2 linked regions of the Caenorhabditis elegans genome follow. The gene in region 1 interacts genetically with each later gene. Each region holds a gene or a part of one and is shown in the gene's direction. Other genes may lie near its edges.

Evidence for each region.
Region 2: of lin-3 (region 1) and lin-45, changing one enhances a phenotype caused by changing the other (phenotypic enhancement), as found in Caenorhabditis elegans (one large-scale study listed by BioGRID).

Annotation. Positions count from the first base shown.
Region 1 is NC_003282.8:11,052,633-11,065,409, forward strand, and holds lin-3 (Protein lin-3), read left to right. Parts: upstream 1-5,181; coding exon 5,182-5,236; intron 5,237-6,666; coding exon of another isoform or gene 6,667-6,709; intron 6,710-6,766; coding exon of another isoform or gene 6,767-6,772; coding exon 6,773-7,012; intron 7,013-7,060; coding exon 7,061-7,225; intron 7,226-7,776; coding exon 7,777-7,858; intron 7,859-7,905; coding exon 7,906-8,032; intron 8,033-8,195; coding exon 8,196-8,318; intron 8,319-8,435; coding exon 8,436-8,524; intron 8,525-8,991; coding exon 8,992-9,267; intron 9,268-9,314; coding exon 9,315-9,426; intron 9,427-9,481; coding exon 9,482-9,568; intron 9,569-10,461; coding exon 10,462-10,539; downstream 10,540-12,777. Other genes in the region: F36H1.12 (Dynein light chain), read right to left, coding at 184-330, 374-515, 938-1,002; ttr-16 (Transthyretin-like protein 16), read right to left, coding at 10,990-11,106, 11,153-11,286, 11,335-11,482.
Region 2 is NC_003282.8:6,740,714-6,753,934, reverse strand, and holds lin-45 (Raf homolog serine/threonine-protein kinase), read left to right. Parts: upstream 1-5,510; coding exon 5,511-5,582; intron 5,583-6,120; exon of another isoform or gene 6,121-6,214; coding exon of another isoform or gene 6,215-6,235; intron 6,236-6,476; coding exon 6,477-6,647; intron 6,648-6,809; coding exon 6,810-6,992; intron 6,993-7,043; coding exon 7,044-7,166; intron 7,167-7,218; coding exon 7,219-7,479; intron 7,480-7,838; coding exon 7,839-8,138; intron 8,139-8,188; coding exon 8,189-8,312; intron 8,313-8,485; coding exon 8,486-8,700; intron 8,701-8,745; coding exon 8,746-8,868; intron 8,869-9,085; coding exon 9,086-9,344; intron 9,345-9,390; coding exon 9,391-9,487; intron 9,488-9,536; coding exon 9,537-9,948; intron 9,949-10,469; coding exon 10,470-10,697; 3' UTR 10,698-11,397; downstream 11,398-13,221. Other genes in the region: smg-7 (DNA/RNA-binding domain-containing protein), read left to right, coding at 11,505-11,585, 11,631-11,978, 12,181-12,281, 12,331-12,443, 12,497-12,558, 12,606-12,711, 12,764-13,221. UniProt on the Caenorhabditis elegans protein: Protein kinase that participates in the induction of vulva and has roles in fertility and viability. Acts downstream of the Ras protein let-60. Required for progression of developing oocytes through the pachytene stage.

The DNA of each region.
Region 1 (12,777 bases):
TTAAATGTATTGGGAAACTTTGAACTTTTTGATCCACTTTTGAAGGAAATTACCAGTACTGAAAACTCAAAAGTATTGTTGATTTCAATTAACTTGTGAAGCATCAGAAGTTTCGAAAAAAAATTACAATTTATTATCCTGAAAATAATCCAAAATATCAGAAATTTTACAAAATCCTATAGACTAAGATTCTTTGACAATTGCGATTCCACTTCCACTGACATCAAGAACAACAAAACTTGGACTTCTTTTGAAAGATGTCGAGAAGAACATGTAAGGATCTTCGTAGAATTGAATACCCCAATATCCACCCAAATGTCCTTGAACCAACTGAAATTTTGGACGTTTTGTGTGGAATAAGACTACAAATTACTTCTTGTATTTTATTGAGAGCATCTGTTTCAAATCTTCCATTAAAGTTGTCTTCAACCACTGCTTCCATGAAAAGAATAGTTTCTTCGTTCATTCCATACGATGAAGTCACTTCTATTCGATACTTTGGATATTGACGACTTCTGAATATTTATTTTGCATTTGGAATTTCATATTGAGGAACATTAAACTGGTTTTTGCTTTTTACAGTAATACTATTTAGAGCACTCCTACAGTACTTTAGCACTACGGTGACGGTTCAGACTGCCACGACATTTGTTAAAAGCGCTTTTTAAATATTAAATATTACCCAGTTGCGAAAAATTAATATTTTTGATGAATTTTAGGGTATTCACTCTCGACACGACTGAAAATTTTCCGAGGAAAACAGTTTTAGCATTTAGAGAGTACTGTAGTTGAAACTTCCGGTTTTTTATTAAATTAAATTCAATAATTCATTCGTTTTTCTTTTGTTTCTTCCAATTTCAGACTTGAAGAGCAGAAGTCGGTGAAATGAGACTACCGTACTTTTTAAAGGCGCACACTTTTTTACGCGAGTACTTACAAATGATCTCCTTCCTTTATAATTTTCGGATTAAATTTCTTTGCATATCGTTGTACTGCTGTCATTGCACAATAGAGAAGGGAAATATTTAGCAGTATCAACAATAATTCCAACTTCAGAAACATGGTGTTCGTCCGTCAAATGACCGATTTCAAGTCTCATTCTTGATTCTTTTATATTAATTTTTAGGGTACTTGTATAACTAGTTCTCAATTGTTCGATTTCTGAACTTTCTTCATTATTTTTTTACATATAGTGTTATTTTTTGTCTCATTTAACGTCTATTGTAGACATATTTTCGGTCACAACACAAACAGAGACACTACAAACACAGGAAGTTGTTTTCGAGAAATATATGAGGAAGCCGGAAGAGAAACAAAAAAGAAACTTATCTTATTTATAAGGTGTTTTCCTTCTTAAAGTAACTTATTTGGAAATGAAATATAATGGAAAATCTGCTTGGCTGACCTCGGAACTCATTTCTTCCATGTTTCCAGTTCTCGTAATCAGTGGTGACTCGAATTTTGAAGATGTTGCGACCGTGCTCCATTGGACTCTCCTCTGCGTCTCTGCATTTTCCCTTGTCTCTAGTAAGTTTTGATCAACCAAATTTTCAAAGATAATTTAATTTTTTATATTTATTTTTTTTAATCTTTATCAGTTATCAAATGAATATTTTATTAAAATTCTCTGATTATTTTCCAGTTTTCCAAAGAAACAATCATTTTTTCTAATTCCAGATTGTACATAGCCATCGGCACCACATCGCCACTCAACGGGTATTCAATGCTGAAAATTTGTGAGTTATTTTCTTCCTTAAACTTCTAAAAATGTAATTTACATGTCTCCAAATTTTGAAAATCGTCTTAAACAGAAAAAATGCATGAAAATGTAGGTAAATGAACGAATCGGCAATGGTCCGAGACGTCTTCATCGCTATTGTCGTTTCATCTCTATTGAAAATGGGTGGCCGGATGGTTCAAATTTGTCAACGTTTCCGTCATTTTTTGTGTGAAAATCCTTACGAATAGGTGGTTATCTCTTTGGAAATCTCTAAAGTTTGGGATCGTTCGAGATTTCTTCTATGACAGCTTTTATCTTTTATCAAAAAAAAAAGAATCACCATTTCGTTATAGAAAAGTGCGAGAAACCCTATTCCATCGTTTTCCAATTTGCTCCCATCATCATCGCAAAACTTAAGAGAGCACCTGCTTCTGCACATTTGCTTATTTATTGCCACCTCTCCCAGTCAAACGAGCTCTTCACACCACCAGCCTTTTTCTTTCCGTTCGTGTGCAAGATGTTCCTCTGGATTCACTCCAAATTATTCATCACAAAGTATCCGATTTCTTTTTATTAATGTTAGGAGGATAGATGAAATGTCCTACCTGGCTTTTTACCGTTTCCATAGAACCCGATATTTTATATCTATATATCTTGCTCTGGTTAAATAATTTTCTAGTCTTTTATCATTCACAGTTTCAATTTTTCGAGTTTAGAATAAGCCTCTGCCGATATAATAACTCTAAATCCTACTCCTGTGGGGTGCACTGGATTCCTTGGCGGCTTACCAAATTGTGTCTCATAAATCAAACCGCTGCTTCTACAATTAGTAGTTTTTTTGAAGCGTTAGCGCTAGAGTTTCTCTGCTCCAAAGAATATCTTTGTCTTTATTGAATTTTGAATCAGAAAACGATATACACAACTCTTGACCACCCGGCTGACCATTTTAGTTTTCGTGGGTCATACAAGCACCTCCCATATATTTCCTTTCTCGGGTTTTCTTGCATGCTGATACGTTTCTGCGTACTTTTTCCATAAATGTTATTGTTTTTAAGGACGAATTGATACTAATATATTCAATTTACGATTATATAATTGGATAACTTACAAATCTAGCACGAAAAATTCGGACAAAAGTTTCAAAAAATTTTTAATGGCGGATTCGAGTTTCGAAAATAAAAACTAAATGTTGCTAAAATTTTAAATTTCGTGAACGTGCCCAAAAATTGCAAAAAAAAAGCGACAAATCAAAAGATTAGCGACCAATTATGCAATAAAGGTGATAATCAAACAAAAACCCAGAAACTCAACTGTAAATAATCAAATGAGAAACCCTCATTTTCTCGAATTATAGATCTTTACAGTTCTGAATCTTAGACATATCCTCTGATATCCCACGTATTTCACGAAGGTCGATCTTCTTTTTCACCTTACTTCCTCTCCCGACTATTTGTTTGTTCTTCCTTCTTTTTTCCGACCTTCTCAATTGCGCAGTGCTTCTCTTTTTCCCGCTACCATTTCCTCCTGTTTCTCCTATTGTTTCCAATTTCTGAGCCAATGTGCTCTTACTGTTTCTATTTGTCTCCTCGCTTCTCTACAAACTTGCTGACTGGCTGACTCATAAAGTCTTAGAATCTTCTGAAAACTGGAATAGGAAGAACCAGAAGTAGTGTCAAAGTTGAAAAGATCCGATTTCATGTGAAAAAGGAATACGCCGTATTTCTGATACACTTTAATGTTTCCTCCAGTTTTCCCAAATAGTCTCGTTTTCATTCCTGATAAATAGGCAAAATGCAAACAGTGATTGCTCATCGAGTTGTTTTTTTATATTGGAATTCCCTAGATTCTGAAAATTGTTGCTAACACAAGAACATTTATCTCTCGAAATTGAGGAATTGTTTGCAAAGTGGACATTGATTAACATATTTTATAATTTATCTCAACTCATCCGTATCCATACTTCCATCAGATCCATGTTCGACATTTTCTTGTTTGTTCAGTGTTACAGTAACCTGGAAGATTCCGAAAATATTATAGGAACAAACAAAATTCCCAATTTTAAAATATACGTGGAATCGTTCCCCACGGCCAATTAGCACCGCCCACGAATCATGGGTCTCGTTAGGTATTTAGCGGAAAACCCGTAAATTCAGAGTTTTTAAATTACTTTTACCGATTTTGTCAATTTTTAAAAATTTATTTTACTTTCTTTGTATTGATTTTCATTTGGAAATTAATGAAATAAAGTTCATAAACAAATTTTTTTAAAACTTATTCACTTTTCAACATTACACGAATTTTCAAAAAATTATTTCGGCTTATAAATAATCAAAAACAACATAAAAAATAACAAAAATTGGCAAAACTAATTGAAAACGCTTGAATTTACGGATTTTCCACCAAATACCTAGCGAGACCCATGGGTTGTGGGCGGAGCGTTTCAACGTCGATTCTAAAATGACTGTCTTTCTGAATCCCCATAATAATAGAAAAGATTAAATTTAAAATATGTTGTAGTTATTTTTTCACCATCAAAATAGATCACTGCGCATCTTCTCTATTTGCTCTCTTCTCGAACCGCCCATCGTTGACTGACTCATGCCACTGAAAAGTACCACCAAGAAGCCACTGATTTTCCCAGGGTCAAAGCTAACCTCTTTTCGATTTCTTTTCATAACTTTTTTGTTTCGCAATAATTACTCTTCCGATCAACAGTTAGCTTCCCACTTCTCCCGATCTTTCTCTAACAGTTAGCTGATCTACTACTAGACTGTACGATTTTCTCTGTTTTCTCTGATGTTTCTTTGTTATTTTTTGCTCTCAGCTAACATTCCTTGTATAAAACTGTGATATTAATATCAGTTAAGAAATACAGTTAGTGCGGTAGCCAGAAAGTTCATGTGAATCATCATGGCCATCAGAGTCTCTGAGTTTTATAAATTTATATATTTTTGGGATATTTTTTGAAAGAAAGAATTACGGTAGCCGGAATCAATTTTCTTGAATTCCAAAGAGCGTGCACCTTTAAGGAGTACTGTAGTTACCAACCCTGTATTGTTGGGATATTTTTATCAGATTTTTCACAATTTTTACCTGTTTCTTTCATTAAAACCATCAATTTTTTTTGAAGAAATTCAACAATAAGGAGTTGGTAACTACAGTACTCCTTAAAGGTACACGCTCTTTGGAATTCAAGAAAATCGGCCGGTTCGAGACCGGGTACCGTAAAAAAATTTCGCATTCTTTGCACAATATTTCCTTATGTTTCTCTTTAAAAATTTAAAAAATTCCCAATTTTTTTAAATTTTAATTTTCAGAATAACGGATCGTCGGCTTGTCGGTGTTCTTCCCACCCCTTATGCATCAATTTTTCCTGTTTCATAAGGTATTTCAATTAAATTTCTCAACAATTATCCAAAAAAAAAAATTATTTCAGATATCGTCGCCCACAAGTTTCCAAAATGCGGAAAATGCTACTTTTTTGCATCCTTCTACTCTTTATGCCTCAATTTACAGGTAATTTTTCATTTAAAAAAAATGATGTTCTACTTGGAATTGAACGTCACACCTCTTAAAACATATTGAACGGATCGAATGATATTTGACACTACAACCACATGTGTGTTCGTGTTCTACACATTTTTTGTCTAGTGCACTAAACATTGTCATATGGAATAAAAATCGCCACAAACGACTATGAGAAAAGATTGGTTCAGGAGCAGGGAATTTTTTTTCGAAAACGAAAATGAAAAATTTAGTTTGAAACGATATTTTGACCGAAATCGCACTATTTATGTTCACAATTTCCAGTGTGATTCTTTGGAAAGTTGTAAAATTTAAACATTTATAATTTTTCAGTATATCAGCATTTTTCGCTTAATTTTTTTTCCAAAAAATCGAAAAATAAATTTTCCACCAAATACACGAAAAATCTACAGCCCTGTTCAGGCATTTTCTCGATTTTTGCTCTAAAAATACGGTACTGGGTCTCGACACGAAAAGTTTTTATTAAATGCATGTGCGCCTTTAAAGAGTACTGTAATTTCAAACTCCCGTTTTTGCCGAATTTTTAAAACTGGTTTCCGATAAAAAATTGTCTGTTTATTCAAAAACAACTATAAAAGCACACCAATTTTAACAAATCGTAAGAAAAACTTTAAAAAATTGATTAAATTTCCGCAGCAACGAAATTTTGTAATTACAGTACTCTTCAAAGGCGCTCATCTATTTACATTAAATAAATATTGTCGTGTCGAGACCACGGACCGTATTTTTGGGGCGAAAATTGCAAAATTTTGCGTCTGGCGAATAGCCGTATTTTGTGATAATTTCCGTTTACCCGGTTGCAAATTGAAGAGGTCATACAGCAATGCACAGTAGGTGATCGTAAATATTCAAGTACCCGCCAACACCGCCAAAATGTTGTATGCACCCCCTCATAAACACCCTTGACAATACTACCATCGGTATTTATTTCACCTATATTGGCAGCAATCTACGAGTTTACCACCAACTATGTACATACCAGTTATTACATATTCGAATTTAAATGGTCCCTTGAATGGTTTGTCATTAATTATTGTAGATTTTTAAAGAAATCAGGCAATTTGATAAATTGACAAAAAAATGTAGATGTCGAGAACAATAATCACAATACAAATTCAAAAAAAGACTAACAACCAATCTACAGTAGTCTAGAAACAAAGAAATAAAATCGTACTTTTTTTATTCTTCAAGTTTCTTTCCGTGGATCCTTGAGCTTCTGTACTTTCAAAATTCTAGAACTTCCCGTCTCTCCCTATTCAATGCACCTGTGTATTTTATGCTGGTTTTTTCTTGTGACCCTGAAAACTGTACACACAGGTGTTCTTACCAATGTCTCAGGCATTTTTGGAAAAGTAATATTAAGAAAATTATACATATTTTCTTGAATACGAAAAATTTAAATGTTCGGTAAATCGATTCCTGAACGACTTCTAGTCGCATTTGGTATGTCTATAATATCAAAACAAAGATTATTATTTTCCATTCAAATATCAATAAAAGTTTCAGAATCGTGTCTCCCTTCGTGGTTTCGTCAAGAACGTAGTGCTCCCGAACAGCTTCAATCTGCAGAGAATGCAGCTGAAAATAGTGGCTCTGTACCACCCGATACTTCTCGAAATTCTCTAGAAACAAACGAAATAGGTGATGCACCGTCGTCGACTTCGACACCTGAAACACCTACTGAAACTACGATTTCCGAAGCTGGAGACGATGAAAAACGAACTGAAGAGGTTGCAAAAGAATTAAGTAATACTTAAATGTATAGAGAAAATCTCAGAAATTTGTTTTTTTCAGTCGAGAAAGAAGCAGAATATGAGGGTGAATATGAAGATGAAAAGGTTGATGAAGAAGTAGAAGAAGCGTTAAAATATAATGAAGATGCCACTCAAGATGCCACGTCGACTCTTAAACCGGCGGTTCGGAAGGAAATCGAGAAGTTGAAAGAAGCAAAATGCAAAGGTAGCCATTTGATTAGGTCTGAAAAACCTTTTGAGTTTTCGTTCCATTTTTCAGATTTCTCGGTTTTCGGGAAAAACCAACCCTTTTTTTAGTTATTTCAACAAACAGTTTTTGAAAATCTAAAAAATTGAAAAACTGAAAAAAGTTGGAAATAATGTATGTTTAAAAAAACGAGAAAACTAGGTTTCTTAAAAACATGTCAATTTTTATGCGAAAATGTATTTTATAAAATAGGAAAATTACCGAACATTTTGAATTTTCAAAAAAAAAAACCAACAAAAAATTGAAAGTTTTTGATTTTTAGTTTTTTCAAAAATTTAAATTTAAAAACGATTTTCGATTTCAAATGAATGAATTTTTCGATTATTTCGATTTTCAAAAAATAGAAAAAGTTTTCGACGACATCTTTCCATGATTCTTGCTTGTTGAAATAATTAAAAACGGGTGTTTTTTTCCGAAAATCGACACCCTTGCAAATGGATTTATGCAATTGGAGTTCTTTAATAGATTAATGAATTCAGTCTAAAATCTTGAAAAAAAATAATTTTCAGACTACTGTCATCACAACGCGACATGCCACGTGGAAGTGATATTCCGTGAAGATAGAGTTTCAGCAGTTGTTCCTTCTTGCCAGTAAGTCTGGAAACAATTATGAGCAAGTACAGTAATCCTTTTTGCAGTTGTCCACAGGGTTGGGAAGGCACTCGTTGTGATCGTCACTACGTTCAGGCGTTCTATGCCCCAATCAACGGCAGATATAATGTACGTTTGAGCACGATGAGCAGCACGGCGCAACTCCTCGTTCAAGTAATTATAATCTCTCATCTAAACAAAAAAAATTAACAAAAATACCCTTATTGTGAAACCCTAATTAAGTTGCATGTAGCATGTTCTCATCTAATTATTTTTTGGTTTGTTTGCGGTGATGGTTTTCTATGAGAAACATATCATTTTTGTAAATTATTTCTAGGGAAAAACGAAAAAACCATTAATTTTTATGGTTCATCATCCAAATCAAACGATTTCTACAACGCCTTCCAGTCAAGATTCTGAAATTTCTTCTATTTTCAGTGGGCTTTATGAGAGAATTGTGGTGAGAATATAAATTATATAATGGGCTTGATGTCCACATTATTCGTCAATCTAGAATATTCGAAATATGAAAAAAATTAAATTTTAAAATGCTGCATTTGCTCATACTTTTTTTCAGCAATCTTCAACATCAGCTATTCCTGCGTTCGCATTTCTCATTGTCATGCTCATCATGTTTATAACAATTGTTGTTTATGCTTATAGAAGGTATACTTTTCATCAAAAATTTGAAGTCTTGGTAAATTTTCGGTTTTTTTTCTCAGAAAAAATTTCAGGATATTATGAAATTTTGTTCATTTTGATGAGAAAAAACCTTAGAAAATAGCATTTTTCTAAAAGGAGAAAAATGACCGATAAATTGATTTTTTTTTGAAATATTGAAATATCTGAAGAACGAAAAATTGGAAAACGAAAAATTTCGATTTTCAAGTTTAAAAAAATCGAAAAAAATTTGCATACAAAAATGCAATGTTTCGAAAAATATATTTGAATTTTGGCCAGTTTATTCTTTTCTCCTCTCTTCAGAAGAAAATTATGTTAGGAAAATTGTTTTCTAATCAACACACAGCTTAATAATATTTTGAAATTGTTGTTAATTTTCTAAGCATCTTTTTTTAAAGATTTTCGAACATTTTAATGTAAATTGTTCAAAAACAACTATATAAATGTTTCAGAATGTCTAAACGATCGGATGATATGACATATACAATGAGTCATATGTGCCCACCAGAAGCATTCAATGTCCTCAAAACACCAAATGGACGACATATTCCAGTTCATCAAATTCCATCATGTTCTTATACTATCCCAACACCGGGTACAGTACCTCCAAATATATCATCAACTCCTGGATCAAGAATACCCACTCGTCAACAAGCTATTCGAAATAATGAACAAGCACGGAACAACTTTTTCAGCATTCTCAGAAGTCAAGGTACCATTCCATCCAGGTATCAAAATTCTGAAAATTCATTTTCAAAATAAAATGAACTTTCAGGAGTATCAATGACGACGACACGCCGAAGCACTACAAGTCAGTGCCACGTGTTGAAGTTTCAGCAATTAATTACTCTGGCCACATTGATTTTTCAACAGTATCATATCAGTCGGTCAGTTTTTCGATTTTCATGGATTTTTTGAAAATAAATTAATCGCACATTTCAGACTGAATCAGAAGTTTCAAAAGCATCAGTAACATGTCCACCACCGGCGCACACTGTAATTAATATCGAGTTGGATTCTGCAGATACGGTAATTATTGTTTTTAAAAACTAAGAATCGAGGTGATATTACTCAAATGCGATTTTTTCCACGACAAATTTTTGTTGAATGTGGAGTTGTGTCGTTTTGAATGCACTTCAAATGATAAAAATAGACCTCAATGAACAGATATAACTGTTAAAAAACTTTACGAAAGTTTTTTAAATCTTTAATGATTTTTTGGATTTTGCAAAAACTAAAAAAAGGCTAATTATTTTTGAATTACCGCGCAAATGATGGAATGATTTCTGGAAAATATTTTCTAATTTTTCAATATTTGATGTAAACACCGTTTGTCAATTTTTCAGACAATTTCCCGTAAACTTGAAATAACCCCCGAAAGAAATTCGTTGAAATTACTAGTTTGGCAAAAATATCGATAATTTAACTTAAATTAATATTTTTTGCGCGGAGAATTGTCTGAAAAATTGAGAAACAGTAATTCAAATCAAATATTGAAAAAAAAAATTGAGAAAAACCAACGAATTTATTCATAAAAGTGAAAATGTCGAATCCAGGTTAGTCGCAAATTCAAAAATAATTATCCCTCAAATGTTTTTTCATTACTTTTTTAGCAGTTATATCTGTTTATTACGGTCCTTTTTCATTTAGATCACATTTTTAAAAATGACTGTACTCCGCCTTTAACTGCAAGCGGAATTGCGCCTTTAAAGATTACTGTCTTTTGCAACCCCTCGTTGCTACGAAATTTTCATTGATTATAATACAATACATTTTTCGGGTTACATCCATTTGTTTATTTTTTGGAAAATGATTACAGTAATCTTAAAAGACGCAGTTCAACCTGGTATCGTATTATTTGTGCAAAAATCGCAAAATCTAACCTCTGAATAATAAAATGATTACTCATTTGAAAGTTTCAGAATTTTCGATCCCCGTCTCGAAGTTCTGGAGAACAAGGATCACCAGCAACATGTGAACCAATGATTCGACACACATGAAATTATAATTTGTTTCCTTATTTTGTCTTATCTTTTTCTTTTTTCATCAACTTCTCTGTGCTATAATTGTGATTTACCACTGCTCAAACATCTCTGGTCTCTTCAAATTTTTTCGCTTTCTCTTTTTTCCTCTATTTTCATATCGTTCTACATGTTTTATAGATTGCATTTGGCACCCTATTATATCCCACCCAAATGTTCTATAGTTCTCTCACTCTCCCTCTCAGTTCCTGTGACAATTTGTATAATTTTGCCAGTTCAACTCCTCGATTTCCAACGGGTACAATATTTGCATCGTTTTTGTAATTTCCTTTGATCCCTAGTCTCTTCAGGTCCTCGTTGAAAAAACTAAACATTTATTTCATGTTTTTATTAATGGAAAATTGAGAAAAATCATATAGAAAAAATATATATTTAGATAGTCAATAAAATCCAGGAAGTTTGCACTTTTTACTGGCATTTTTCCTTCTCTCCGTGAACCTTGATGTCGAGGGTGACGTAGGTCATGTCGTAGGTTCCTCCGATCTTGTCCTCTGGCACCAAGTACCTTCCGATGCGGACACAGTTCTGGAATTATTTTAATAAATATATTCCATTATTTATTTTGACTTACTGGCTTAGATGGGTTGCAGCTATGGGTAATCAAAAGGTATGGGGCAATAGCATGAGTCTCATCTTCTTCTCCGTAAACGCTGAATTCTCCTTCAGCATCAGTTTTCTTGGTGTCCAAAAGATCATCTGGGTCAACTGAAAAATACAAATACATTTATAGAAAAGTTCTATCAATGAACTTACGGGTGTCCTTCTCATAGAGTTGAACTTCAACATTTGCCAATCTCTTCTTATTGCACACGGCAACTCCCTTAACAGTAACATTCTGAAGACGGGCTGTGCATTCAAGAGCACAAGCGGCGAGCAAGAGACACACGACGAGCGAGCGCATTTTCAACAATAAGTTGTTGAGGTGACTGGCGTCGTGTTGGGGCTCACTATTTATATTGAGATTTGGAGATTAACGTCAGGTGTTGTCCCCCCTTCAATCAACCAATAGAATCAAAGAAACGAGAGCCAATTGGCGTGTCCAACAGCCAGCCATGAGACAACATGAGAACTTGAATCAGAAACAACAACAAGTAATCAGGGATTAGATAATGGGTTGGCAAGCTTGAAAAACAAAATCAAGATTTCAAAATATAATTATGACTCATTTTTTATACGGGGGAGGAATTGGATTCAGAATATCTTGTGCACATACGGAAGTTTTCTTTTCTGATAATCAGATCCACATAGGAGTTCCATGGGAGAAGGGTGTGGTATCAGGGTTTTCTGCATTTTGGCAGAAAGCGCGAGTTGAGGCGTGAGGGAGGCCCGTCGCCTTAATGTCAGGCATGCGTTTGGCGCCTACATGTTAACCCTAATTTTTTTTCTAATTTTATCTAAAATCATATTTATCGGAGGCGTTTTCCGGGCTATAGGAGGGGAGGCGTGCGTCTGCGAAATACCTTATCGAAAATCGGTACAGTTTCAGCTGTCATATTACAGGCTCACGCTGTACCTTTTATATTACGTTTCCGTTTGATTCACAATATTTATTATTGACAATACATTCAGATTGGATTGATTTCTATATTTCAACTGGAATTTTTTTTCGTTTTCAGGCTAATAGTTTTTGTGATGTTACGTGGGATGTAGTGATATCCGCTTCCAGTCTTTCAAACAAACAAACAAAGCTGTAATGATCATTTTGTACACTTGATTATTGATATGTTTACAAGATTAGATGCATGCAAAACAATTTTCAAAAACATAATCGATATTGAAATCAATGTTCACAAAGAGCAATTTGAGTTTCTGATAATCCTTCGAACACTAAAGTTTGAGATCAGTCTCTGATGTTATTGCCAGTTGGTGATTGATCCCTCTAATTGAATCTCAGAATTTTATGTTTGAAATGTGAATGCGTCAGACAATATATAAAATTTTAAACATCACAACAAAAACTGGAGGGTTTCTTCGTTTAGCACTGTTTCATGATTTCATAGTTTCGAAGTTCTAATTCAGCTTTCTGAACATTAAAATGAGGTTTTAAATTATATATAAATTCATAAACAGTTCAAACTTATTTTTAATGAATTTTGTTTTATTTCTCGAGGGGTTCAATTAAGTACTGACCTATGTTTTTTAATATAGTATTTTTTCCACTTTCTACTGCAATGCCCAGATTTCCCGGACTTCGAG
Region 2 (13,221 bases), 4.3 Mb from region 1:
ATTGAACTAATTAAAATATCAAAAGTACATTCAGATATCTGGATTTTGGTTCCAAGATTTGTTGCTTTTGTGTTTTTCCAATCTGAAAATCCTCATGATTTTGAAAATTAATTCTTCAACACAACTTTTCATTTTATTTAGACTTTTCGAAATAACAACTTTCAAAAGTTTTGAGTTTTTGCTTTTAAAGTTGGACTTTTTCATTTGTGGAAATTTTCGCTTCAAAAATAAATAAAAATAAATATTCATCCAAACAATATAGTAAATTTTAATTACAAAAAAAAATTAATTACAATCAAAAAGTGGTGAAAATTAAGCTTTGACATATCATAATTTTGAAAGGCGACTGAAAAATTGTTTGTTCTATTATTATATTTATTTCAGTTTCAATTTTTGTATTTAATCATTCTAGGGGTTCGAGCTAATGCTCAAAATTTCTATTTAAAGTCGAAGTTTTTGAATATTTGGTAATTTGCCAAAACTGTGTTGGAGTGTTCTATTCATTATGATAGTCGGTCATATTGCATATTGAGCTATGAGAAGTGTGTTTAGAAATATTTTTAAAAATTGAAAATTCGTTGCAAAATGCCAAAAAGCCAAAAATTCAACTGGAATTCGCATCCACCAGGACTGAAATTCCAGGACAATTGTTCTTGTGCAGAAACTCCAGAACAATGTGACATCTTTGACAAAATGAATGCAAGCTTTTAAAACATCCAACTTATTGAGACCGTTCATTTTTAAATTAATAGACATAACCTGTATGTGCAATAATTTGAAATTACAATTTTGAAACTTTTTGCCAGTTTTGAAAAGTTTTAGAATTCAAACAAGTATGTATTTATTTCCCGATCTTCTCTCATTTCAGTTTTTCATTAGAATCCCTAAAAAAAAGTTAATATCTTCTTCTCTTCCAAATATATTTTATCCTTTATTCACATTCATTTTCTTCTTCTTCTTCCCTATTTTATTTCCCTTCATTTTGTCTTCTCTCTTCTTTTTCATAAACTATTTTTCCTTCAAAAAATGCAAGCATTTTCTCCAACTCTCTTCCCCATTTTCGGAAGCTCTCATTGGTTGCCTTGGTAACGTGGCGCCCGTTTTGTTGAAAAACAGGAGAGTGCTCACTTATGCTTTTGTGTTAAATTTCTGCATTTCTTTTTTTTCTGCATTTCCCATGTGTCCAATTTAATTCTCATTCATCGCGAGTTGTAACTTTGCAAAATGATTTTTGATTGTGGCTTTTCATGGGAATTATTAGGGGGAAAGTGCAGAGATTCGATAGATTAAACATGACTGATCTTACTCTTATGGGAAAAAGATAATCACGAGTTGTAAGACTACAATGAATTCATAAAAGATGTTACAAACTTGTCTAGGATTTTACAAAAGTGGTGAAACAGAAATCATTTCTTTTCTTTTTCTAATACAATTTGATGTTTTCTGAAAAATTAGTATTTATTAATAGTAGTCTTAGTCAAAATTAAGAAAAAATGATCAAAAAGGAACCGTTCAAGATTTGGAACTATGCATTTTTCTTTGAAAAAGCGTCAATTTCTCAACTTTTTCTTGGTTTTTCCAGACCGTATTTCTAGTTGATTTTCTAGTTGAGTTTAACATTATAAATTTAACTGTTAGATCTCGATAGTGGTAAGTCATCGATGGAGATACAAAAATACCTACCTGACTTCCTACAAGGTAGCCTAGTTTACCGCGAGGACTTATATGTAACATAGGCATCAGGTGTTAAATAAGTCTCACATGTAGGTACTCAGGCTGTTAATTTTTAATCTGCGTGATTGACCTAACTTCAAAATTTATTTTTTGTTTGTTGTAGGTCACATAAAATCTTGCTTCAAAAATGTATTGGTTCAGATTTTTAAGCAACTTTCAAGATTTTTTATAAGTTGAAGTTTAAAGTTTTCAAATTTTCATTTAATCTACATGCCGCACGGCAGGCGTAACTTCGAAGGCAACCTATGCCTACATTTCCGTAAATACATGAACAAATGTAAAGTAGGCGTAGGTCGCCTACACGATGAGTTATGGTTTTCTTGTAGACAATTAGGTTTTAGGAGTGTTATATTCCATTTTCAATTTTTTGATTTACAAACTGAAATAGTATCAAAGATTTTTAGAACAACTCAGTTTCGATTGAACGAAGCCACAAATTTATAGACGCAAGATTTTCCGGAAGTGTGCCTCTTACACCTTTATATATATATTGCTAAAATTACAGTAGGATCACTAGAACTTTTCGAAGTCCAAATCATCATCTGTCATCAATTTCATATTTTTCATTCCCTCACATCAAGTGTCTTCCAATTGTTTTCACGGGTTTCCAAGGACCCGTATGTGCATGTTTATCTAGCTCACACACACACAAAGATCCCAGAAAAATTACACTAACTTTCATTCTTTTTTGCTTGAAACGAAAAGATAGAATAAAAACGAGCAAAGTGACTCGTCGCCGACCCGTCTTTTATGAGAGGTGCATGTGTTCTAGGTCCTTCTCGAATGTTTTTTCACTTTTCTTTGCTGATCTTCTCCAATGACTTAGTGATGAAATATGGGTCACATTTGACGTAGTTTATGAATTCGGGTGTCTTGGGTCACCTGACGATGGAAGGACATGAAGACTTTTCTTGAGTTATTGACCTGGAATGAGTGAGGTTCTAGAATCTAGAACAACTGTTCTTCAACTATAAACATATAGATTTCTGTAGTCAGCTTGAAAAATGTTTTGAAATAGCAAGAAAAAAAAACAGGTGTCAATTTAATTTTAGATCTGTAAAAGTTTAGAAATCAAAATTAAATTTTCTACAATTAATTGGATTAGGTCAGCAAATAAGACGTATATGTATGGTCAATTCAAGTTTATTTTCAAATTTTGTATAGGTGAGTTATATAGCAGTTAGGACATCCAATCCTAAAAGTTTCAGCTAGTTTCAGCTAATAGCTTCTTAGTTGTTTGATCTGAAAAAAATTTAAATTGTTTTTTATGCAATTAATTGAACTTATTCACTGTCTAGTTAAATATTTAACGAAAAAATATAATCGGAAAAATTTAATATTTTTTAGTAAATTTCACTGTTTCTCATTTGCTATAAAATTTCTGTGTGTGTGGTCCAATTTTGATGAAATGTTGTGATGAATTTTTCTCATCTACGAACAAAACATAATTGATTTAGTTATTACTTAACATCAAAACTCAAAGGCCTAATCCAAAATATCGCAAAAAAATTAGTAATGTTACATATTTTCAGAACAAAGTACCAAGAAGCTTAGCTAAAACTTGTAGGCTTGTATATACTAACTGCACACTATATGTAAGTAGCCCATACAAAATTTCAGACAAATCGTAAACTTACAAAATATGTCAAAACTTATTTGTTGACCAGATTTTGTTGGCGATGTGTGCATCATGCGCCCACTTCTAGTATTATCTACAGTTGATCTATAACTAGAGCCCCCTAAAAACTAGTTCAAAAGTCAGCCGAGTCTTGTTGTCACTAAATCACTCAAACAATAAATATATCACATACACATATATCTTCTTCTTTTTCTTCATTTCTTTCTCGTTTTCTTTTGCACCGAACTGATTTAAGATCAGTAGAGTTCAAGATACTCAGAGAAGCTGAGAAAATCAATGATCATGATGTTTTTGGTGACCAGAAGGAGCAAAAGAGCAAGAAGGGAAAGATGGAAAGGAGGAAGGAAAAGCAATCGAACTATACAAAATGTAGTAAAAAGACAAACTTTGAGTACAACGAGCACACAGAGTATGAAGAGGTTTTTGAGCGACTAAACATAGAAATTTTTTCACTGTTTCAAGGGATCTAGTTTAAAATCGAAAAATCGATTTTTCGATTATAATCTTTGATTATAATCTTTGAATAGCGTTCAATTTGAAATGTCCAATGCTCTTAAACTTTTAACTGTAGAGGTAGATTTGGTGTTAATTTCTAAAGCTGGCGAAAACCTTGCAATAGATACTTTTAAACTTTTTTGGAGCTCGTTTGAGCATGTCGGCTGAAAATTTCTGAAGACAGGACGTCCCAATGTACGATTCAAAGTTAATTTCGATGAAGCCAAATTTCTGAATTTCTGTTGAAAATCTATATTAAGAACTACGATATCTCACATTAAAATGAAAATAATTGTTATTTTGCGAACTACAATTATACTGAAATAGGTTTTTTTTTGAAATTCTAGTGATCAAAGAAATTTGAAAAAGTTTTGTATAGTCAACATTAGATCAAAATAATGCTTTCGTAGTTTGTTTATTTAAAACTTTTAATAATAATCTTTAGAACCTCAATCTTTTTGATAAACCAAAACAAATATTTGATAGAAAAATGACCTCTTTGATGTGGAATATAGTGTATTTTGTTTCTTTTTTGAGGAATTGTTCGCACTTTTCAAGTGGAAATTGGCGGAAAAAGATGAGAATAGAGTGGAATGAAGAGGCGGAACGAACAAAACACATTTGATGCGCGATCCCATTGATTTTTATTCGTAGAATTTGGATTTTTTTCATAGATTTTTCAAAATAGATTTTTAGACTCACGCTTATTCCTCAAAACATGTATCAACTCAGATGGGTCTCGTCGCGAGAAAACACATTAAGACATATGTTTTAATCTCCGTGATGCCAGCTGCTTTTATTCTGCTTTCCAACTTTCGAAAATTTAGTTTCAAAATAACTGTTTAAAAGTGGTAAAGTTGACAAATGTTAAGATAATAAGTTGATAAGTAATACTTAAGTTAAGTTGATTCCAAGGAAGCAAATGATACCAAATTTTTCTAAATCCTAGAATGAACTATTTTTTCGTGGCAAGACCAATCTTAACAGATCAGTTCACTTTTCAGAAAATTTGAAAATTACCATAACGTAAAGGTAATCAGTTGAGTCATGTAATCCCTTTTTTCTCAAAAATGTCCACATTCTGCAAAATCTTAGTTGCAATATGTCACAGACATTTGTCTAGTCTGTCAGTTTCAGATAAACTTTTCCCGTTTTTTCAACTTTCACAGCTAATTCGGGGTGTACTAACTAGAAGTAGCTTATTAACCAAATGTCATCTAGTTCCTTCTTTTATAATTTGATTAGTGGTTTTTTTCGAATATATTCTTTTCTAGTTTGTGTTTTGTCACGTATGACCTTGTTTCTTCAAATCAACTTGCTGCTCTCTTCACAAACTAAGGTCATCTGTTTCGTGTTAAGACCCAACGCTGAAAACATTGTCAACCTATTCGTGGCACGTGTCGCTCCCGATTTACACGTTTCTTTTTCTTTGCTCTCTTTTTCTATCTCTCTCGATCAGAGCACAGAAACCAGTGAGAAAAAATAGATGGCGAAAACAAACCCCGCCTCTCTTTTTTTGTGTGTGAAGAGAACCATTGGATCCAAAGGGGCCCCTGTTAACAATATATTTTTACTTTCTGAAATTCTTCTAAAGTTATCTGGAGATAATTATATTCCATAATTGATCACATAACATTTTAAAATGTCTGCAATGGCTGTACTGTATTCAGTTTGTCACTTTCATGGAGGCTGGAATCGTCGGAAATCGGCACCAGTAAGTTGAAAACTGATTTAAATCAATAGGGTACACTCTGTGAAATCATAGTGATATTTGAATAATCAAATGACTTTATGAAGCAACCCGCGGGGCTTCTGTATTGAGAAAATACACGATTGCATTTAAAACTTTGCGAACACAATTGTTTAATTGGCCAGCAAATTGAACATTCGTGATTCCTTTTTTGAACATGGGAATCCCACGTTTCATTCGTAACATCTTTTTCAATACAAGTTTTAACTTTTCTTTTCAGCTATCGAGTTACTGTAGATTTGAAAAGTTAATTTATCAACTAATGAAAATAAACGTATTCCATATTTCCATTAATAATAGATTTATTTAAAGCTTCACTCCATCTACATAAATTCATATAACCGAGCGCAACGCTGTCCTTATTATTTGAAAATTCTAATAAACCCTGCAAAATCTGGGTTAAAATCTTCTGCGCGAAAATGGAAGAGAAAAGTGTGTTCGGCCCGCGGACTAACTCCCTCCGTGTACTCTTCTCGGAAAAGAAAAAAATCATCTTTGCGCCCCTTACCGCCGCTCTCTTTCTTTTGTTGACCTTCTATCTGCGAATATATTGATTTTCTGGTTTATTTTATTTTGGAATTAACTGCAATTTTCACATGGAATGCTCTCGCGAAACGGTGTGTTTTCGAACGTTTTCCACAAATAAAATGAAAGTGAAAAATGCTAAAGGGAAACATTTATTTGTTCAGATTGTTTTAAAAAGTGCTTCACAATAATAAAATAGAGCATCTGAAAAGTAATTTACTTATTGCTTGTTCTGATTTCTCAAATGTCCTTTAAAAGTCCGTGTTTAATGTTTTACTCGTCCAAATTGTCCTTTTGTTTTTTAATTACATGTAATCACTAACAGCAATTTAGAAGTCACCTGTCACATCATCTCAAACGCCATCATCATCGTCGACACGCCGCCGAATGAGTCGGATTAATTTCAAAAAGTCATCGGCGTCGACCACCCCGACGAGCCCACATTGCCCATCTCCGCGGCTTATAAGTCTGCCGAGATGTGCTTCTTCATCTATTGATCGGAAGGTAGAAAATTAGCAACGAATCCTTTGTCTTGAATTTTTTAACACTAATTACATGTTACTTGTGGGGAATCGTGTTAATCTATTCAATTCAGAATCAAGCGTCCACTTCTCATTCCAAAGATTATCAATTAAATATTTATATGTAACTCATAATTATTTTCAGGATCAAGCTTCGCCGATGGCAAGTCCTTCAACTCCTCTTTATCCAAAGCACAGTGATAGTCTTCATTCGTTATCTGGACATCATTCCGCTGGAGGAGCAGGAACAAGTGACAAGGAACCGCCAAAATTCAAATACAAAATGATTATGGTTCATTTGCCATTTGATCAACATTCTAGGGTTGAAGTAAGCAAAAAATTCACTGTGAAACGAAGAAAATAAGCACATTTTGTTCAGGTTCGTCCCGGTGAAACCGCGCGGGATGCCATTTCGAAATTGCTCAAAAAACGGAATATCACACCTCAATTATGTCACGTGAACGCGTCATCTGACCCAAAACAAGAATCTATTGAATTATCGGTGTGATTTACTGGAATCTAACAGCATAATTCTTATTTTTGAATATTTTCAGCTGACAATGGAAGAGATCGCATCCCGACTGCCTGGAAATGAATTATGGGTTCATTCAGAATATCTGAATACAGTCTCATCGATTAAACATGCAATTGTTCGAAGAACGTTTATTCCACCGAAATCATGTGATGTATGCAATAATCCTATCTGGATGATGGGATTTCGATGTGAATTTTGTCAATTCAAATTTCATCAAAGATGCTCATCGTTTGCACCACTTTATTGCGATTTGTTACAATCTGTACCGAAAAATGAAGATGTGCGTTCAGAACAAAGGCGGGCGGCAATATTACAAAATTACCAATGTTGTCCCAACATTTGTCATTAACGTCGAAATATAGAAAACCACATTATTTATCTAATGACAACTTTTAATTATGTTTAAAGATCTGTGAAAATGCACAATAATGGCCATTTGCCATAGGCAATTCGCAACTTCTAGGTCATTTTTGTGCATTTTCATAGATGTTTAAACATAATTAAAAGTTATCATTAGATAATTAAGGTGGTTCTATATATTTTTTACACTGATTTTTAATGAAAAATGTTGGAACAACATGGCGTAATTGCTCACCTCTGCTTCAGAAACAATTCTTATCTAAAACATTTAATTTTCAGCTAGTGAAAGAACTCTTTGGGATCGCATCACAAGTCGAAGGCCCAGATAGATCAGTTGCCGAAATAGTTCTTGCTAATCTAGCTCCAACGAGTGGACAAAGTCCAGCTGCCACACCAGACAGTTCTCATCCAGATTTGACGAGTATTAAACGAACGGGTGGTGTCAAAAGACATCCAATGGCTGTTTCTCCACAGAATGAAACATCTCAATTATCTCCATCCGGACCTTATCCACGGGATCGGAGCTCTTCTGCTCCGAATATCAATGCGATTAATGATGAGGCAACAGTTCAACATAATGTAATAGTCACCAATTTTAAAAGAAAAAGTCTAAAATGTATTATTTTCAGCAAAGAATTCTTGATGCATTGGAAGCTCAGCGATTAGAAGAAGAATCACGAGATAAAACTGGATCGTTACTTTCAACACAAGCACGTCATCGACCTCATTTCCAGAGTGGACATATTTTGTCAGGTAATCGAAAACAGAAAACATAACGATTCGTCAAAAGGTCAGGGAAGAAAAACAAAATTCCAAATTTAAGACGTTTTTCTAAAGTTATAAAAACAATTTTTACTCTATTCCACCTTCAAGAATTTCCCAAACGACTCTAATTATTTTAATTTCACTTATTCTCAATTATTCAGGAGCTCGAATGAATCGTCTTCACCCACTTGTTGACTGTACTCCTCTTGGCTCGAATTCTCCTTCATCTACATGTTCATCACCTCCAGGTGGCTTAATCGGACAACCTACTCTTGGACAATCCCCGAATGTATCAGGATCAACGACGTCATCATTAGTAGCCGCTCATTTGCATACTCTCCCATTAACACCACCACAATCAGCACCTCCTCAGAAGGTAGAATTCAAAAAAATCTATTTTTCTTCAATTAAAAATGTTTAGATTTCACCTGGTTTCTTCCGAAATCGTAGTCGATCGCCAGGCGAACGACTTGATGCACAACGACCCAGGCCGCCACAGAAACCACATCATGAGGATTGGGAAATATTGCCGAATGAATTTATTGTAAGTTTATTCTACATCAGCAAGGGTGCACGGCTTTTGCAAACCGGCAGTTCTACAAAAGGAGCATGTTATCCTAATTTTTTTCATTTAAATTCAGTGATCGAATATAGAAAAAAAACATTTTATTTATCTGAAAATAGCTTTTTTTTTTACAGTTGAAGCAATAAAAAAACGCTCAAAACTTCTGTCAAAACTATTAAAACAAGCATTCTTTTAGATTCAATACAAAGTTGGTTCGGGATCCTTCGGTACCGTCTATCGTGGAGAATTCTTCGGAACTGTTGCTATAAAAAAGCTGAATGTTGTTGATCCGACGCCTTCTCAAATGGCAGCCTTTAAAAATGAAGTTGCAGTTTTAAAGAAAACACGTCATTTGAATGTTTTGCTGTTTATGGGATGGGTTCGAGAACCAGAAATTGCAATTATTACTCAATGGTGTGAAGGATCGAGTTTGTATAGACATATTCATGTTCAAGGTGATCTGAACTGAGATTTTAATTCTTATAATTTAATAATTTTCAGAGCCACGCGTCGAATTTGAAATGGGTGCTATCATTGATATACTGAAGCAAGTGTCTCTTGGAATGAATTATTTACATTCAAAAAATATTATTCATCGGTAACTGACCATATCTATAATTTATGTTTAAATGTTTAAAACATTTCAGTGACTTGAAAACGAACAATATATTCCTTATGGATGACATGTCAACGGTAAAAATTGGAGATTTCGGCTTGGCAACTGTCAAAACGAAATGGACAGTGAACGGAGGTCAACAGCAACAACAACCAACAGGAAGTATTCTCTGGATGGCACCTGAAGTCATCAGAATGCAAGATGATAATCCATATACCCCACAGTCTGATGTGTATTCTTTTGGAATATGCATGTACGAAATTCTATCTTCGCATCTACCATACTCCAACATTAATAATCGAGATCAGATATTGTTTATGGTTGGAAGAGGGTATTTGAGGCCGGATAGATCGAAAATTCGACATGATACGCCGAAGAGCATGCTCAAATTATATGACAATTGCATTATGTTCGATAGAAATGAGCGGCCAGTATTTGGAGAGGTGAGTGGGAAATACCGACTTTAGAAATTTGGTAGAACTATGATTTATTATGGGGTTATTCATGAGTGTCAAAAAACTTTTAAAAAATCGATTTTTTGTACTTTGTACATGTTTCGACAGCGTCGACGAGCGAAAAACTACAGTAAGCCGCCATGCGGCGAGACCATACGTTTTCATATGACTATGTCTCTTCAAAAGTTGTGTAAATTTACGAGCTGGGCGTTCTCCCCGTGTACACCGCGAGGACAATTCGGAATTTATTTTCTTCCAGTACTTCACACATTTTCGCTCTTTTTTTTCACATTTAAAATTGGCAGTTTTGTCTAAATATGGTGGCTTCCTTTGATTTTTCACTCTTTGACGCTGTCGAAAAATGGATAAAAACATGCTTTTAAGAAATCGATGTATTTTTTAAAAACATTTTTTTCGCTCATGAATAACTCCACTACACTGAAAAATCCAAAAAAATATTGTAGTTTGATTTTTAAATAAATTTTAATGAATGAATTCCAATTTTTCAGGTTCTCGAACGACTTCGCGACATAATTCTTCCAAAATTGACTCGTTCTCAATCAGCTCCGAATGTTCTTCACTTAGACTCGCAATATTCGGTGATGGATGCTGTAATGAGAAGCCAAATGCTTTCCTGGTCATATATTCCACCTGCAACTGCAAAAACCCCACAATCAGCAGCAGCAGCGGCCGCTGCTAACAAGAAGGCATACTACAATGTCTATGGTCTCATTTAGTTTTATTTTGTTTTTTTTTTTGAAAATCAAGGGACACTGCAACTTTTTAGTTGATTTTCTCGTCTCTCCCCGAATATGTACCTTTATTTTCTCTCTTTTTTCTATTCTTCCCAGTGATTTTCCCTACCCCATGTGTACACTAACCAAAAAACTTCCAGTCGAAGAATAATCTCGCCCATCGTTATTTTACTAATCATTTCTCGTCACATTGAATCCTGTTCTATTATTCACCCCCTCATCACCCATCCCGATATTATTATTATTATTTTAACCCCGTATTCACCGTTTCCTCCAAAACTTAAAAATCCCACCAAAATACTTTCTTTCCAGTCTAAGTCCGCCTGCAATCGTTCCCCCATGTGAAATTGTGATAATTTTCATATTTTTGTTTCGGCTAAACCGGTAGAACTTTTTCTTTTCCAACTATAATGCTTTTTATTGAAAACGTTTCTTTTGATAAGTTTTCAATGTTCCCACCCCATTTCCGTTTCCAAACATCCCAAAGATTCTCTGTATGTATAGAATTATATAGAATCCAATGCCTATCCGTTTTGTTTTTGTCATTTCGAACACATTTTGAAACTTCCATTTATTTTAATTTCAAAATGCAGCATCCCCATTCCTTTTCTGAACCGGGTTATTTGAATCATTTAATTTTTGCAAACAAAAAAAGTTGAAGATAAAATAATTTTTCGCCTGACTTCCTGTTTCTTCTTTTGAGTGGCTAGAAAAAGTGTAGGATTTCAGATTAATATTTTAAAATTTGAAAAAAAAACAAAACAATTTTGTTCCAGAGGATTCCACAGGATGTCGGACGAATGGGAACAGCTTACTGTAGAGTTGAGAAAAATTCCACGTGGCACCGAAGCTGCACCACAGTATTTGAGAGTAAGATTGAGAGGTGTTGATTTATCGAAATGAGAATAATTCCAGCATTTAATGAAAATGTTTGTCGCTGACTTCGAAACTGCTGTATCCAAAAGATTCGATGTAAAATTCTGGAATAAACTGAAATCAATGATGGATGAAATAACAAAAGCAATGGAAAATGATCGACTTGTTAATCATAATGTTCAAAATCTTGCAATTGGATTTTTGACTGATTTATCACTTCTTGTTCATTATCATTATGAAATTCCAAATTATGGAAACGATATCTCAAAACAATTAACATGGACACCAGATGTATTTCTAAACAGAAAACCTATCAAGTCGAAAAAGAATAGTCGAGTGTTCATGGCTTATGTTCTGTTAAGAATGGGAGATTTAATGAGATATAAGGTAGTTTTGAAATTTTTTCATAATTTTGGAAACAATGATGTCAAAATTTGTTTTTCGTTTTTCGAAGTTGATCCAACATGGACCAAAAGAAAAATCGAAAAAAAACCCGAAATTTTTAATTTTTCGATACCAAAAAATTCTAAAGAGCGAAGGGTGTCGTTTGGGTAGTATTTTAGAAAAATCATATAACATTTATTTTCAGGAGAACTACCCAAAAGCTCAGGAATATTACGAGCAATCATGCCGCATTAATCCAGCTGATGGAGCTGTCTGGAATCAGCTAGGATTGATATCTTCACTTGGGTAATATTCAAAATTCCATAGATTTCAGGAAAAAGTTTACAATTTTCAGTGCAAAAAACCTGGAAAGTGTCTATTTTCATACACGAGCTCTTCATGCCACTATGGAATTCCCAACTGCTTCTGGTGGCTTAACGAATATTTTCAAAAATTTTGCAAATCGAGGTACTGTAGGATTTTCATTGAAAACCTAGATATCAAAATATGTCTGTTTTCAGATATTTCAAGACCAATGCCTATTAAAGATCTATATTTATCCTGCCTAGGAAGAATTCATTTCGTGAGTTTAATTCAGAAAGATGAGTATACAAGGGTTACAGATTTCAGCTTCTAGAAATCGAAGATTCTTCTGTGCACCTACAAAAAATTGGAGAAGAAGCTGCAACTTCAAAAGAAATGATTGTTCCTCTAATGTCTGTATATAAACATCTCGGTTGGTTATTTTTAAATTTTATTTTGTTTTCATTAACATTAAAATTTTTCAGAGGACGGAACTGAACTTGAACAACGAGCCGTAGAGTATGTCAAAACTATTTGGTGTACGGCCTACCGAAGTCTCCTGAAAACTTTGGATGATTATAAGGAGGAATCAAAAAAACTGGCAGATGTTCCACATCTTCTTCATATTCTGGCACTTTTACTCTGTGCACCTAAACTCCTTCGCGGTATTGAAGACCAAACTGAAGATGAAGTAACATCAATTTGCGAATGGCTTCTATGCGCAAATTGTGATGAGAAAATCAAGGATTCTGATGCTTTTGGATATTTTCATTGTCTTCAAAGAATTCAATATCCACTCACTAGAACTCAATTGGCTCAGAAATTAGTTGAAATAGAGGATGAAGATGAATCTAAAGATTCCGATCAATCAACAATACCAGAAGAAGATCAGAAAAGCCTTTCTACAGACACTTCAAGAATTCAAAACGAGGATTCGGAACCT